Linked DNA regions of Saccharomyces cerevisiae S288C. The protein of the gene in region 1 binds, or shares a complex with, the protein of each later gene. Each region holds a gene or a part of one and is shown in the gene's direction. Other genes may lie near its edges. The genes, in order: MDM35 and UPS1.

Region 1 (7,959 bases):
CCAGCGGCGAACAGTGGAGGCTCCATAACGATAGAACAATTTTTATTTAATAAGAATGCCGATAAACAAGGACTATCCAAAACAGAGTCTGTAACTATGAAGAGGGAGCCTGTGGTGGATCAAATGGACTCAAAAAAGGGGCACGATTTTACCCATTGTAACGACAACGGCCGCCGGTCTTTTAGTGGCTTTTCTCAAGGTTCGATAGAAAATGATTATAGTAATGAAGTTACAGATGATCAAGACGATCAAGAGGGATCGGAGATAAGAGTTCGCGATTCCAACGATTCCAATACCTCTCCTAAGGAAAGTTTTTTCAAAGAGGTTATCTAACTTTCTATCAATCGTTTGATGATAACCGGTGCCGCTACTCGCTGTAATATATACCTTAATGTTGGTTTTGTTATATTTTTTTTCATTACTTTTATTTTTTTTTTATTTTTCTGATTAATATTTATTTATTCTAGGTACATCAAGAGCAGAACAAATTTGCCAACTTAAACTACATATGCTGAACAATATTCTCTTTTTAATTTCTAGCTTTTAACGCAATGACCATTGTGGACAATGCGAAATATGTCAAAAAAAAAAGCAGCCAGAAGAAATTCTTCGGCAAAAGGAAAACTACTATACAGATTGAGAAGCATAGAATTAGGTATTAGTTACATCAGTAACGGGGATAACAAAAATAAAAGGGGGAAATGATGACGATGTTCTTGCAAGTTTTATTAAATTGTGCTTTGGAAAGAAAAAGATGAATATATCTTGCAGGTTAGAGGGTATTTCCTAGTCAAGTCTAGCATATATGAGGTCATACGACTACTTGAATAGATTCGTTGGAAGAGGAATTATTGTAAATATTTGAAGATGCTGTTTCTGTGGCAATCACGCCGGCGTTATCGTCCGAAGGCAAAACGTCTTCACTGTGGTAGAGGCCTAGCGCCTTGTCATACTTGTAATAACCCGAAAATGATTCCACGTGGTTGAAATAGCGGGATTGTCTGTATCTTCCACCTAAATAAAAGTCGGCGGAAAGAATCATAAATATGATACCAAACCAAAATGCTAGCAACCATTCGAAACAAGCACTCTTAGATCTATCATTGATAGCACCAAAACAAATGGCCCATACAACTGCGAGAGTTAACCATATAACTTTTAGAGTTGCACTGATGGTAAATTTATTCCATACATGGCCTTTCCATTTATACCAAGGCAGCTCATCCACAGTGTTATAATCTTGGTTAAAGCTTTTTTCAGATGATTGAGGATTGAAATGAGGGCTGGCTAGGGGGTGGACTGAGGCATAGTGCCTTCCCATGAGGAAATACTCTGCAATCAAGCAGCAAGTGGATAGGAACATGAAGACGACGAAAACAGAGACCATAGCAATGTGAACGCGATGGTACAGGGCGGTTGAGAAGATGGAACTGAATAAAAGGGCTAGTTCACCAATGCTGCCGAGAACAAAAGCTGCGAAAATCAGGTTCCGTTCATCCTTTGTGTAATATGGAGGCATTAAGTATTTACCGCTGTGCAATTTCTCAGCATAAGATGTGGAATCAGAGATAGAAGGGTCTTTTTTTTTCAGTTGGAAAGGCAGATAGCCGGATCTTTGAAAAAACTCAAGGGCAACAGTGATTACATAGCCTAGACCCTGCCAGCCGGCGCACGATATAAACAGTGGCCTTAAATTAGTGGCACCTATATCTGAAATGTACACAGGGAATTGCTCCGAGTGCATGAACCAATATATGGGATGGCCTTGACTGGCCCAGCAAATAAGCATGGCTATCAGCATACCATACCATGGAATGAAGGCAATCCAGGGTACTATGAACAGCCAGTTACCTGGACTTTTAAATTGAATCATGCTATTGCTTGTACCTTCTATGTGTTTTTACTATGTAGCAGAACTTTTTACTATGAATGTTAAAAGTATCTAAAGGAAAAAAAATCCCGCAAAAAATTGTGTCTTATTATTTAGGTTTTTAGTTGTCCAGATGTTAAATCAGTAAATCTCAACTTCAGGGAATAACTATATTTATAAACTGAATGCCCCTAAGAAGGAGTGAAAATTCCGGTTTCATTCTCCTTCGCTTAGATGACAAATCTTCCAGGCTGAAAAAAGTTGCTATTTTTCCAGTTTTTTTTTTTCATCCATTTACTTTACTGCCGCGGATCCTTCAATTGAACAGAGCCCTTAAGCCGCAGAGGGGTAAGAGATCTTCGTTTTTGAACAGCCGTGGAAGATGTTTAGAGTTGGATATGGCTGGCAAGACCGTTGTGTTAGTCTTCATTGATAATCTTGGGCCTTATCCCGTCCTACTTGCACTATTATAGTGGAAATGCGATATGTCCGGTGCGTCATAGAGGAACGGAGGCCCTTGCTTGATTAGTAGCTACTCCGATTAAATGCGGTAGTGCCGCGCGGGTAACAGAACAGCGAGTTTTTCCTGTTTTCTTTTCCGTTCTTTTCCGTTTGTTTCCGTTCTTTTCCGTTTTTTTTTTCCGTTTTTTTGGTTTGTTTTGGTGAGCTGAGGCATCAACAAAATAGATATCTACAGTTTGGGGTGGGAATAGAGCCAGGTTGATCAACGTATGGAAAGAGCAACATAAGGGATTGTTGACACAAAAAATGGATTCTGCAAGCAAAGAGGAAACATTGGAAAAACTTGATCAAGAAATTACAGTGAACCTGCAGAAGATAGACTCTAACTTGAGTTTCTGCTTTCATAAGATCACCCAGGACATCATCCCACACGTGGCTACATATTCAGAAATATGTGAGCGGATCATGGATAGCACCGAATGGCTGGGGACTATGTTTCAAGAGACTGGGCTGGTGAATTTGCAGGCAAATGCAGCTGCACCAGTGGGAAACGCTCCAGTCAAAAGCCTTGTGAGCAATAATGTTGGTATATTTCCTACATCCGCTGAAGAGGCGAGTAGGCAGTCCCAGACAGACAATGGGCCTAACGAGGCAGATTCAGCTGTACATGTCAACCGGGATGTCCATTCTATGTTTAATAACGACAGTATAGATGATTTCCACACAGCGAATATAACATCCACGGGACAGATATTGAAACTTCCGGACTCTAGCGACGAAGATACTGGTTCAGAGGCGGTGCCTTCAAGGGAGCAAACAGACCTTACAGGCGAGGGTCATGGTGGAGCTGATGATGAGCAAGATGAAAGTACAATACAGAGACAAAGCCGCAAAAGAAAGATTTCGCTACTTTTGCAGCAGCAGTACGGGTCTAGTTCCAGCATGGTACCGTCTCCGATTGTGCCCAATAAAATGCGGAAGCAACTGGCTCATGAAGAACATATTAATAACGACGGCGATAACGACGATGAGAACAGCAATAATATAGAGAGCTCGCCTCTGAAGCAGGGGCACCACCACCCGAAGGGACAAGCGGATGATAACAACGAAGGGCCCGATGAAGAAGAGAGTACGAAAGAAGTACCAAAGCCTGGGACCATCATTCATTTTTCTACGAATAGATAGAATAAATAAGTACATACAATTTTTACTAGTGATGAATATCAGAACGCAGGGTAATGGGCCCGCTATATTTTTTCTTCGATATAGGGAGAGCCACATTCAGAATATTCAGAGTATTTGCATGTAGAAATTTATTCTAAGTGCGCCAGATATATGCCGGGAGAGGTCATTAGAAAACATCTGTTTGTGTTTTAACTTGAATTACAATAACAATAATACCAGTTTTATATGGGGAATATAATGTCAGCTAGTTTTGCGCCTGAATGCACTGACCTGAAGACGAAATACGATAGTTGTTTTAATGAATGGTATAGCGAAAAATTCCTGAAGGGAAAATCCGTTGAGAACGAGTGCTCAAAACAATGGTACGCTTATACTACATGTGTCAACGCAGCTCTCGTCAAACAAGGTATTAAGCCTGCTCTAGACGAAGCTAGGGAGGAGGCGCCGTTTGAAAATGGCGGCAAACTAAAAGAAGTTGACAAATGAAGTATATATTTTAGCACAGAATGTGCATTATTCAACATGTAAATACTAATACTGCAATATCGACTTATAATAATGTATAGTGATCCGTATATTAATAGATCTGTTTCAATTCTTTACCTTTTTAGGATATCCGTCACCCGTGATTCCGTCGGAGGTGAGCACTCGCCCAAATAAATAACGGGAAATGGTGGCAAAAAGTAGTGGCGGGAAAAGGAAAAATTTTCGTTCTCTCCCATATAAACGTTTCATTCCTTTTCCTAAGTCTTTTACAGTAATTTCAGAAACATTCGTATTTTATATTTGATCTTTTGAAGCTACAAGAAAAACTCTTACCAATTACCCCAAAAAAATCACCATCATAAAGTACTTACATATTTATTTTTGTTTGGTCGTTTTCTCAATATAATCTACATCATCATATATATATAATGTCTACACAATTTAGGAAGTCTAATCATAATAGTCATAGTAGTAAAAAACTAAATCCTGCGCTAAAGTCCAAAATAGATACGCTTACAGAATTGTTCCCTGACTGGACGAGTGATGATTTAATTGATATAGTTCAAGAATATGATGATTTGGAAACTATAATTGATAAAATTACTTCCGGCGCAGTGACAAGATGGGATGAAGTAAAGAAACCTGCTAAGAAGGAAAAATATGAAAAAAAGGAGCAACAACACTCATATGTCCCTCAACAACATTTGCCAAATCCAGAAGATGATATTACATATAAGAGTTCTAATAATAGCAATTCTTTTACTTCTACAAAGCATAACAGTAGTAACAATTATACTCAAGCCAGAAATAAGAAGAAGGTACAAACACCACGAGCTCATACAACCGGGAAACATGTTAATCTCGACAAGGGGAAGCACGTACCATCCAAGCCTGTTTCAAACACTACATCGTGGGCAGCAGCTGTTTCTGTAGATACTAAACATGACGTTCCTCAAGATTCAAATGATAACAATAATGAAGAATTAGAAGCACAAGGGCAACAAGCGCAGGAGAAAAATCAAGAAAAAGAGCAAGAAGAGCAACAACAGCAGGAAGGGCATAATAACAAAGAAGAACACAAACAAATAGAGCAACCTTCTTTATCTTCAAAGAAAACAACTTCTAGGACATCTGCTTCACAACCAAAGAAAATGTCGTGGGCTGCAATTGCTACACCAAAGCCAAAGGCTGTTAAAAAGACCGAGTCTCCTCTTGAAAACGTTGCTGAATTGAAGAAAGAAATAAGCGATATTAAGAAGGATGACCAAAAGTCTGAAGCTAGTGAAGAAAAAGTTAATGAACAAGAAACATCTGCACAAGAACAAGAGGAGGAGACTGCTGAACCTTCTGAAGAAAATGAAGACAGAGTCCCTGAAGTGGACGGAGAAGAAGTCCAAGAAGAAGCTGAAAAAAAGGAACAAGTAAAAGAAGAGGAACAGACAGCGGAAGAGCTGGAACAAGAACAAGATAATGTTGCTGCTCCAGAAGAAGAAGTTACAGTTGTTGAAGAAAAGGTTGAAATTAGTGCTGTTATTTCAGAGCCTCCAGAAGATCAAGCTAATACTGTACCTCAACCACAACAACAATCCCAACAACCACAGCAACCACAGCAACCACAGCAACCACAGCAACCACAGCAACCACAGCAACAACAACAACCACAGCAACCACAACAACCACAACAACAACTACAACAGCAACAGCAACAGCAACAACAACCAGTACAAGCTCAAGCTCAAGCCCAAGAAGAACAATTATCTCAAAACTACTATACTCAACAACAGCAGCAACAATACGCTCAACAACAGCATCAGTTACAGCAACAGTATTTGTCCCAACAACAACAATATGCTCAGCAACAGCAACAGCATCCACAACCTCAATCACAACAACCTCAATCACAGCAAAGTCCACAAAGTCAAAAACAAGGGAACAACGTGGCTGCCCAACAGTACTACATGTATCAAAACCAATTTCCTGGATATTCTTATCCAGGTATGTTTGATTCACAAGGATACGCTTACGGTCAACAATATCAGCAACTTGCTCAAAACAACGCTCAAACTAGTGGTAATGCTAACCAATATAATTTCCAACAAGGTTATGGTCAAGCAGGCGCGAACACTGCTGCTGCTAATTTGACTAGTGCTGCCGCTGCTGCTGCCGCTTCTCCAGCTACAGCTCACGCCCAACCTCAACAACAACAGCCATACGGTGGCTCATTCATGCCATACTACGCCCACTTTTACCAACAGTCATTCCCATATGGTCAACCTCAATACGGTGTAGCTGGTCAATATCCATACCAGTTACCAAAGAACAATTACAACTATTACCAAACTCAAAACGGTCAGGAACAGCAAAGTCCAAATCAAGGTGTTGCCCAGCATTCTGAAGACTCTCAACAGAAGCAATCACAACAGCAACAGCAACAGCAACCTCAAGGTCAACCCCAACCTGAAGTTCAAATGCAAAATGGCCAACCTGTTAACCCACAACAACAAATGCAGTTCCAACAATACTATCAATTCCAACAACAACAGCAACAAGCTGCTGCCGCTGCCGCTGCTGCTGCCCAACAAGGTGTACCATATGGCTACAACGGTTATGATTACAATTCTAAAAATTCAAGAGGTTTCTACTAATAAGGGAGAAGTAGAACCTCCCACATAAAAAACGAAATGGGGAATAAAATACAATGAATTTAAATACACATTTTATTACCACTATTATGTTTTACTTTCTTCAATGTTTGGGCAAGGATTCCATATCCTTTTGATGATGTCATATATCATTTAAATTTTGCATATATATATATACGTACGTAAATAATAAAAGGTATATATATGTTGTGTTATCTATCTAGCTAGCTGTGTCTTTATTTTGCGGGGTTTTGGAAATGCCACTTTTTCTGTTTTATATATCACAGCGTCAAAATTTCCGCCGTTACTGTTTGCAACTGATGAGAACTATGGAATACACATGAGTACATTGGTATAGACGTGGGAGAAGAAAAGTCTGGAAATGCATTATTTGCCTGTTGCGATAGTAACAGGTGCCACTAGGGGTATAGGCAAGGCAATATGTCAAAAGTTATTTCAAAAGGGTTTAAGTTGCATTATACTTGGGTCTACTAAAGAAAGTATAGAGCGCACCGCGATAGATAGAGGCCAATTACAATCGGGATTATCATATCAGCGGCAATGTGCTATAGCAATTGATTTTAAGAAATGGCCTCACTGGCTTGACTATGAGTCATATGACGGTATCGAATATTTCAAAGATAGACCGCCCTTGAAACAGAAATATTCCACATTGTTCGACCCATGTAACAAATGGTCAAATAATGAACGCCGCTACTACGTAAACTTATTGATTAACTGCGCAGGCTTGACTCAAGAATCATTAAGTGTAAGAACCACTGCATCTCAAATTCAGGACATAATGAATGTTAACTTTATGAGCCCTGTGACGATGACAAACATCTGTATTAAGTATATGATGAAGTCGCAAAGGAGATGGCCGGAACTCAGTGGTCAATCTGCTCGACCCACCATCGTAAATATTTCCTCCATTCTACACTCCGGAAAAATGAAGGTTCCAGGTACATCTGTTTACTCCGCCTCTAAAGCCGCACTGTCCAGATTTACAGAAGTTTTAGCTGCAGAAATGGAACCAAGAAACATTAGGTGTTTTACGATATCTCCAGGTTTAGTCAAAGGGACCGATATGATCCAAAATTTGCCAGTGGAGGCTAAAGAAATGCTGGAGAGAACCATTGGGGCAAGCGGTACAAGCGCACCCGCTGAAATAGCGGAAGAAGTCTGGTCTCTATACAGTAGAACTGCTTTGGAGACGTAAAAGAAAATCGAAACAAATAATAGATTTGTGTCTGTTCAATGTGTATATCGATGAGCTCAGTGAACACATTTTCACATCACGTTTCTTTTTTTTCT
Region 2 (8,385 bases), on another chromosome or scaffold:
ATCATACCAGGGATGAATTTGTTTGAACATAATGTGGAGATACCAGCATCGTGTGCCTTCAATGTCCAAACTGGTTTACGGTTTTCATTGTTTCTAATATCGAAAGAATACACATTACCAGAATCAGTACCACATAATATTATATTTTCACTGGCAAATGTAACAGTTTCTATTTCCTCACCTGCCATGGCAGACCAGTATTTACTCATTTGACTTTCGTCAGAAATTCTAACATCTGTTAAAGCTACTCGAGAATCATAACCACCGGTCAAAAGAATGGAACCATTCAACATGTGCCATTCAGATGATGAAACATTTTTGTTTGAATGAATGGAAGCTAAGGAGCGGGCTGCGTTACCTGAGTTCAAATCCCATAGTTTTACGGTATGATCTGCAGAGGTGGATGCTAAAACGGAACGGAAATATTTGTTGTGTGCCATGGATAAAACAGCATCGGTATGATGAGTAGTAATGTGTCCAGTCTTAGACTTCTTCTTCTTCTTTTTGCTTTTCAAAGACACCATTGAATTATCAAGAGGTTCACCCAGAATCATATCGGGAAAGGCCTTGTCAACACAGTCCAAGTTCCAAATTTCAATTTGTGGATCAAACGTACCAATGGCAGCATAATTGGCTGCTTCTTCGGAATTGGATCCAACCTTGTAGTCAAGCCACTCAACACATAGTGGAAAAGCAGGCAACATTAAATCATGGTGAACGTAAAGTGCAGGGTCACGAACCAATCCACGAGCAACATCTGGGTCAGCTTCATCACCTTCTTCAACGGGAATATCGCTACTGTGGAACCCAGCACCGTCATCGTAAACGTAGATATCCAAATACGAAACGTCATCTTCTGTTCTCGCAGCAAGAACTAAATTATCGGATGGGTAAACTTGTAACTCCTGCTTCTCCTCTTGACTATCCTCTTGATTAGGCAATGAAATATATGGATCTTCACCTTTTTCACCCTCATGGAATTTAACATCGCTATCATTACTTAAACCCGGGAACATGGAAACGTCTTTACCACCCTCATTATCTGCAATTTCCTCATCGTCATATTCTTCCAGGTTATATTCTTTCAAATCATCATCTATATCCAACTGATCCTTCAACTTATTAGAACTACCTGTTGCGGCGTCATCTTCAACACCTGATTCGCCTTCTGCTTCTTCCAAAGTAGCTTTAGCATCATCCAAATTCAACTGTGCTAATTGGTTAATTCTTTCCACTTCCTCATCATCCAGAACATACTTTTCAGGAAATTCCGAGGAAAACCCTCTTGGAACCCAATTAGTAGCAGAAATCATTAGTTATTTTGTTTTTTTTATTCGTCTTCTAAGTTTCCAAATAAGGAAGGCGTAATAGACTCAACTGAGGGTACACTTGCTATCGTTTACAAATTAAAACTCTTTGCTTCTTTCAAACTCATCTCAGCTCATCGAGACAAATTTTTCACTTCTTTTTTTCGAGGGCGAGAAAATTTATTACCCGACTGGATATAATATATATAGAATAATACATATGATCAACTCAAGGTAGGGCCTATGGAAAAGTTTTACAACGGACAAGGCAATTAAATTGAATTGCACGATTCTCTAATTTTTTATTCTTGCAGATTTGTTTCATGATAAATTCGCCAGTTAGAGTTCTTATTATGGGTGGGTAAGAATTCAGTTAACGTTTAAAATTCTCAATATTAATCGCAAAGTGGAAAGCAAAGCAAAGTCTCACTAGAAATTGCAGGCGGACTATGTATAATTACGTAATAGTAGTTCTTGCAACAGAGGATCCTTTCGACTCTTTTGAAAGGATACTGTCATAAAACAATAGGATAAAATAATTTCAGCCGTTGCTCATGATAAAAGTAATTCACTATAATTGAAGATGATATGTGTTGCACGCTTTTTAGAGAATGATCTGTACAATAGCTCTGGTTGTCATAGAGCTTCGGTAGTAAACGTATTTATAGAATGTCAGAAGAGGATAAAGCGAAAAAATTAGAGAATTTATTGAAGTTATTACAGTTGAATAATGACGATACTTCAAAATTCACTCAAGAACAGAAAAAAGCTATGAAAGACCACAAATTCTGGAGAACGCAACCGGTCAAAGATTTCGATGAAAAGGTGGTGGAAGAAGGCCCCATTGATAAGCCAAAGACACCGGAAGATATATCTGACAAGCCACTACCTTTATTGTCTAGCTTCGAATGGTGTAGTATTGATGTGGACAACAAAAAACAGCTTGAAGATGTTTTCGTTCTACTAAATGAAAACTACGTGGAAGACCGCGATGCAGGCTTCAGATTTAACTATACCAAAGAATTCTTCAATTGGGCTTTAAAGAGTCCAGGTTGGAAGAAGGATTGGCATATTGGTGTTCGCGTTAAAGAAACACAGAAATTAGTTGCCTTTATCTCAGCCATACCAGTAACACTTGGTGTTAGAGGTAAACAAGTGCCTAGTGTAGAAATCAATTTCTTGTGCGTTCACAAACAGCTAAGATCGAAGAGATTAACACCTGTTCTAATTAAAGAAATTACGAGACGAGTGAACAAATGTGACATCTGGCATGCATTGTACACGGCAGGTATTGTTTTGCCAGCACCTGTGAGTACGTGTCGTTATACTCATCGTCCCTTGAATTGGAAGAAACTTTATGAAGTAGATTTCACAGGGTTACCAGATGGGCACACAGAGGAGGATATGATTGCTGAGAATGCGTTACCGGCCAAAACAAAGACAGCGGGATTGAGAAAATTAAAGAAGGAAGATATTGACCAAGTTTTTGAGTTGTTCAAAAGATATCAATCCAGGTTCGAACTAATTCAAATTTTCACAAAAGAAGAATTCGAACATAATTTCATTGGTGAAGAATCGTTACCATTGGATAAACAAGTAATTTTCTCATATGTAGTCGAACAGCCCGATGGAAAAATTACAGACTTCTTCTCATTTTACTCATTGCCATTCACAATCCTAAATAACACAAAATATAAGGACCTAGGCATCGGGTACTTGTATTATTATGCCACCGATGCAGATTTCCAATTCAAAGACAGGTTTGATCCAAAAGCTACTAAGGCTTTGAAAACAAGATTGTGTGAATTGATTTATGACGCTTGTATTTTGGCCAAAAACGCTAATATGGATGTTTTTAACGCGTTGACTTCGCAAGATAATACATTGTTCTTGGATGATTTGAAGTTCGGGCCCGGTGACGGGTTCTTGAACTTCTATTTATTTAATTATAGAGCAAAGCCGATTACCGGTGGCTTGAATCCCGACAATAGTAACGACATTAAAAGGCGTAGCAATGTCGGTGTTGTTATGTTGTAGTGGCTGAAAGGACGAGGCGTATATAGTTTTCGTGTACATAGCCGACAGAATTTGACCACATTTAGTTTTTCCGCATAGTCAATTGACGAAGTGAAAAAATAATTAATCCAATGGCTGGCTTTAGAGTGTCAGCCTCCAAAATAAATCCAAAAATAGACAAAGAGAATCACTATAATTACCGCCTTGGAGTCCAAGTTGGCTTGAGAACTCGCATTTATTTTTAGCGACTGAGGTAGCTGAAAAACGCCTACTTTCTCAGAAGGCGGTAGTGAGCATATATAAGTATGTAAGAAAGATCAACTCTTCTGGACTAGATACTCACCGATCTAGTGAAAATATAAACAAACCCAACATATATATAAAATGAAGGCCTGTTCCATATTATTTACCACCTTAATTACTCTAGCCGCTGCTCAAAAAGACTCTGGTTCCTTAGATGGCCAGAACTCTGAAGATAGCTCACAAAAGGAAAGCTCAAACTCTCAAGAGATCACACCTACCACGACAAAGGAAGCCCAAGAAAGCGCATCAACTGTAGTTTCTACCGGAAAAAGCTTAGTACAAACTAGCAACGTCGTCAGCAACACCTATGCTGTGGCTCCAAGTACCACCGTAGTGACGACGGATGCACAAGGCAAAACCACGACACAGTACCTATGGTGGGTGGCCGAAAGCAACTCTGCCGTAAGCACAACTTCAACTGCCTCTGTGCAGCCCACCGGAGAGACGTCAAGCGGAATCACCAACTCCGCATCCTCCTCAACGACATCAACATCAACGGACGGGCCAGTTACTATAGTAACTACCACGAATTCGTTAGGTGAGACTTACACATCTACTGTTTGGTGGCTACCGTCCTCAGCCACAACTGACAACACGGCTTCATCAAGTAAATCATCTTCGGGATCCTCATCAAAACCGGAATCAAGCACCAAGGTAGTAAGCACTATCAAATCAACTTATACCACTACGTCAGGTTCTACAGTAGAGACACTGACCACTACATACAAGTCTACAGTCAACGGTAAGGTAGCGTCCGTAATGTCCAATTCTACCAATGGCGCCTTTGCCGGCACTCACATAGCTTATGGTGCGGGTGCATTCGCCGTTGGTGCCCTTTTGTTATAGAATGTATAATCAGTTCTGTATACCACCACATAGTTCTGCATTTTAATAAAACTCTTTCTTTTTATACACTGTAGGTAACCAATAATATAACTATTGTTATCATCGTGCTTGCGTATTTTTTTTCTTTCGGGTGAAAAACTCCGCAGTATTTCTCGCTCTCCCTGGATAATAAGCTAGAAAAAAAAAATATATATGACAGATGGATGAGTAATCATATTCAATAAGTATTGTCTGGCTTCTGAGACGGCGGTAAGATATCCTTAAGAGTTGCAATGGTCCTTTTACACAAAAGCACACATATATTTCCTACCGATTTTGCCTCTGTTTCACGCGCCTTTTTTAATAGATACCCCAATCCATACTCCCCCCATGTACTATCCATAGACACAATATCAAGGAACGTTGATCAAGAAGGAAATTTGCGCACAACGAGGCTGTTGAAAAAGTCCGGAAAGCTGCCCACATGGGTCAAACCCTTTTTAAGAGGTATAACAGAAACATGGATAATCGAAGTTTCCGTAGTGAACCCCGCTAACTCCACAATGAAAACTTACACTAGGAATCTGGATCACACTGGAATCATGAAGGTTGAAGAATATACTACCTATCAATTTGACAGTGCTACAAGTAGTACGATAGCAGACAGCCGGGTGAAGTTTTCAAGTGGCTTCAATATGGGTATCAAATCTAAGGTAGAGGATTGGTCGCGCACTAAATTTGACGAAAACGTTAAGAAAAGCAGAATGGGCATGGCATTTGTTATCCAAAAACTCGAAGAGGCGAGAAATCCTCAGTTTTGATGTTCCCATTTAAAGATCTTTAAAGATATCACCATGGGCGAGCGAAATTGAGAAAACTAGTGCAGCTCGCATTTGGTCACGTCCTAAAAATTGTAAATAAGCGCTGGTTCAACAAAATTTAATATACACACATATATAATTATTTATTTATAACAGTCATTCTGCTAAACTATACATCAAATGTCACTAATCTTGATATTATGGTCGTCCCTGTATCATATTAGACGAACACACCTGTTTTTGGGCATTTTCCGAATTTTTTTTTCATGCTAGCTAAGTCAGAAGTACTACATTAAAGAATTGAGAACTGACTGCTCCCACCATTCTTGAACTCTCGCTTTAAATTATCTTACTATCTTTTGAGTTCCTTGTAACTATTCTATCCTAACCACCACCTCAAAAAAAAAAAAGTAATAAAAATGTCTTGGGACGACGAAGCTATCAATGGTTCTATGGGTAATGATGACGCCGTTTTGATGGACTCATGGGATGCTGAAATTGGTGATGACGAACCTGTCATGCAATCATGGGATGCAGAAGAGGAAGAAAAGAAGCCTGCCCCAAAGCCAAAAAAAGAACAACCAAAAAAGGTTAAAAAAGGGAAAGAATCCTCCGCTGACAGAGCCCTATTGGATATTGACACATTGGATGAAAAGACACGTAAAGAATTAATCAAAAAGGCTGAAATGGAGTCTGACTTAAACAATGCTGCAGATTTGTTTGCGGGTTTAGGTGTTGCCGAAGAACATCCAAGGGCTCGTGCTTTACAAAAGGAACAAGAGGAACAAGCTCTAAAAAGACCCGCCTTTACCAAGGACACACCTATCGAAACACATCCTTTGTTTAACGCCGAAACAAAGAGAGAGTACCAGGATTTAAGAAAGGCTCTTACTGCTGCTATTACACCAATGAACAAAAAATCTCCGCTGAACTACTCCTCATCGTTAGCGATTGATTTGATTAGAGATGTAGCAAAACCAATGTCCATCGAATCTATAAGACAAACAGTTGCTACTTTGAACGTTTTGATCAAAGATAAGGAAAGAGAGGAGAGGCAAGCTCGTCTGGCCCGTGTTAGAGGTGGTACTGCTACTGGGGGTGCTGGTAAGAAGAAAGTCAAAGGTAAGACCAATTTGGGTGGCGCATTTAAGAAAGATCAAGATTTCGACCTAGATGGCCCCGACGATTTTGAATTCGGTGATGACGACTTTATGTAATCTGCTTATTGTTTCTTTGCTATGATAAACTTGTCCATCTCATTTTGTTGGTGAAAAAAAGCGAAGCCCAGCACCGCAGGCCTTGGATATTGCCATATCACAATTGTCCTGAAATTGTGAATGTCTATATTCCCATATATATATCCATAGGCGTTTCATTCATATAAAAATAAATACGCATATGTGTACGTAGGAGATTGTGTTTTCAAGATGGAGAATATAATGTGTTTTTGCACCGTTATCTGGCTTTTTGTTAAGAAGTACTTCGTCTCGTTTCTGCTGATTCTCCCTGGAATATTTACATTACTTTAGATTTTACTATATATATATGCGAATATATGTGTGCAAATATTGATGCACTAGTGTGTACGCGTTTCATCATCAACATGCTCAATTTTCTTCCGTCTTTTTATGATCTCAATATAGTTATACGGAATGTAGCCAATATTGCCGTTCTTTGTCCTCACTTTCCACCAGTCAGAATCCCTCCCAAGAGGGTCTTTCTTACTCAAAATTGCCATCAAGTCGCCCTTTTTTAAAGCAACTTCCATCTCTGGGTTTTCTGGAACAAAATCATATAACGCTCTTGCAAATTCTAACTTCGAAGGATCAATAGGCTCGCTACCATTTCCTTGCGATGCTCGTATGGTTCCAGAGGTCTGTAGTTTAGTAATAAATTTGTTTAGTAGATATGGAAAACCAAATACTGCCATCAAAAAAAATAGTAGCGGTTTCCATGAAATTTTCCTTCTTGTGGCTTTCTCATTAGAATTTATGGTACCACTATCATTAAACTTTTGAAAATCTTCAATTAGTTTATTTTTGCTTCCTTCAGATTCTGCGAAATTCTTTGGTGGTATTCCTAGTCTCCCCTTAGTAGCACGATAGAGTATTTTTTTAAGAAACTTCATTATAGCAAAGATACCAAAAAATGAACCTAGCATTTCCTTCAAATTACCAAACTGTTCTGCGACGGATATCATGGTGAAAAACGAGTTGTGTGTGGCCATATAAGTAGATTCCAGCATTTGTGCAAATCCAGTAACAGCGCCTATCAAACTTTCTATTAACTGAAAGGTGGCCTTCGTCGACTCACCTAGTCCACTTCCATTATTCATTCCATATCCCGCTCCTGCACCGTACCCTCCTCCATAAAACGATCCATAATTGTTGCCATAGTACGATCCTCCATAGCCATACCTCCCTATGCTGTTTCCGTATATAGAGTTCATACTATACGGATTATTATCATAGGGTATCCCATAATTGCTATTACCGTATATTCCCGGTATTGTATTCGATTCGCCGTAGGTACCAGAGGAGTTAAGTGCCGCAGGCCGCGGCAAAACTTCGGGAGCAGACTCACTTGCACTATTACTGTTATTGCTTTCTTCAGTTGGCCTGGAATCCTGCTGATTCGAGGTCATCATCGCACTTAAAGACTGAGCATTACGCTGTGGCTCCTCTAACGAAGCACTGGTCTCCCAAGGTTTAGGTCGTGGTACTGCTGTGGATGACATCGCAGGTATTGTTATAGTATAGAATCCCCTTGATATTTATAGATAGTATATGCACTTTCGAAATTGTTGTTCATTTCCACATGCGTTTGCTCACCAACTATCTGATATAATTAATATTAGTCCGGCGGGCTTCGGAAATAAAAAAAATTTGGCCCGCTGAAAAAGGTGTCATTAATCAGATAAAAGAAGACTTTATTATATCATTTTTTTTGGTAATTAATGTATTTAAGTATAGGTTGAATAAACTTGAATGCAATATATAAATTATGTGTTTGTGATACCAGTCACACCGTGATTGGATTTTCTATTCAGCTTTTAAAAGCGGGGTATTTGCTTAGACGACACTATGAATAAATAGCTGCAGCATTCGACGTTG

The links.
Region 2: the proteins of MDM35 (region 1) and UPS1 are in contact, whole or in part, in a crystal structure (PDB 4XHR), measured with the Saccharomyces cerevisiae proteins. Residues at the interface, in NP_012870.1 of Saccharomyces cerevisiae: Ser6 (codon at 3,758), Ala7 (codon at 3,761), Ser8 (codon at 3,764), Phe9 (codon at 3,767), Lys17 (codon at 3,791), Tyr20 (codon at 3,800), Phe24 (codon at 3,812), Asn25 (codon at 3,815), Trp27 (codon at 3,821), Tyr28 (codon at 3,824), Ser29 (codon at 3,827), Phe32 (codon at 3,836), Leu33 (codon at 3,839), Val38 (codon at 3,854), Trp46 (codon at 3,878), Tyr49 (codon at 3,887), Thr50 (codon at 3,890), Val53 (codon at 3,899), Leu57 (codon at 3,911), Gln60 (codon at 3,920), Ile62 (codon at 3,926), Ala65 (codon at 3,935), Leu66 (codon at 3,938), Glu68 (codon at 3,944), Ala69 (codon at 3,947), Arg70 (codon at 3,950), Glu72 (codon at 3,956), Pro74 (codon at 3,962), Phe75 (codon at 3,965); in NP_013294.1 of Saccharomyces cerevisiae: Phe15 (codon at 4,787), Ala16 (codon at 4,790), Ser19 (codon at 4,799), Arg20 (codon at 4,802), Phe23 (codon at 4,811), Asn24 (codon at 4,814), Tyr26 (codon at 4,820), Pro27 (codon at 4,823), Leu35 (codon at 4,847), Ser36 (codon at 4,850), Ile37 (codon at 4,853), Asp38 (codon at 4,856), Thr39 (codon at 4,859), Ile40 (codon at 4,862), Ser41 (codon at 4,865), Arg42 (codon at 4,868), Val44 (codon at 4,874), Gly48 (codon at 4,886), Asn49 (codon at 4,889), Leu50 (codon at 4,892), Arg51 (codon at 4,895), Thr53 (codon at 4,901), Leu55 (codon at 4,907), Trp77 (codon at 4,973), Ile79 (codon at 4,979), Val81 (codon at 4,985), Ser82 (codon at 4,988), Val83 (codon at 4,991), Val84 (codon at 4,994), Pro86 (codon at 5,000).

What each region holds. Positions count from the first base shown.
Region 1 is NC_001143.9:335,226-343,184, reverse strand, and holds MDM35 (Mdm35p), read left to right. Parts: upstream 1-3,742; coding exon 3,743-4,003; downstream 4,004-7,959. Other genes in the region: LPX2 (Lpx2p), read left to right, coding at 1-333; SFK1 (Sfk1p), read right to left, coding at 812-1,873; ASK1 (Ask1p), read left to right, coding at 2,639-3,517; DNA damage-responsive RNA polymerase-degradation factor DEF1, read left to right, coding at 4,432-6,648; OAR1 (3-oxoacyl-[acyl-carrier-protein] reductase (NADPH)), read left to right, coding at 7,028-7,864. UniProt on the Saccharomyces cerevisiae protein: Involved in mitochondrial distribution and morphology. Mediates the import of UPS1, UPS2 and UPS3, 3 atypical mitochondrial intermembrane space (IMS) proteins lacking the two major IMS-targeting signals, into the intermembrane space.
Region 2 is NC_001144.5:536,896-545,280, reverse strand, and holds UPS1 (Ups1p), read left to right. Parts: upstream 1-4,744; coding exon 4,745-5,272; downstream 5,273-8,385. Other genes in the region: rRNA-processing protein PWP1, read right to left, coding at 1-1,313; glycylpeptide N-tetradecanoyltransferase NMT1, read left to right, coding at 1,977-3,344; NCW2 (Ncw2p), read left to right, coding at 3,708-4,472; HCR1 (translation initiation factor eIF3 core subunit j), read left to right, coding at 5,692-6,489; peroxin PEX13, read right to left, coding at 6,849-8,009. UniProt on the Saccharomyces cerevisiae protein: Required for maintenance of normal mitochondrial morphology. Required for PCP1-dependent processing of MGM1.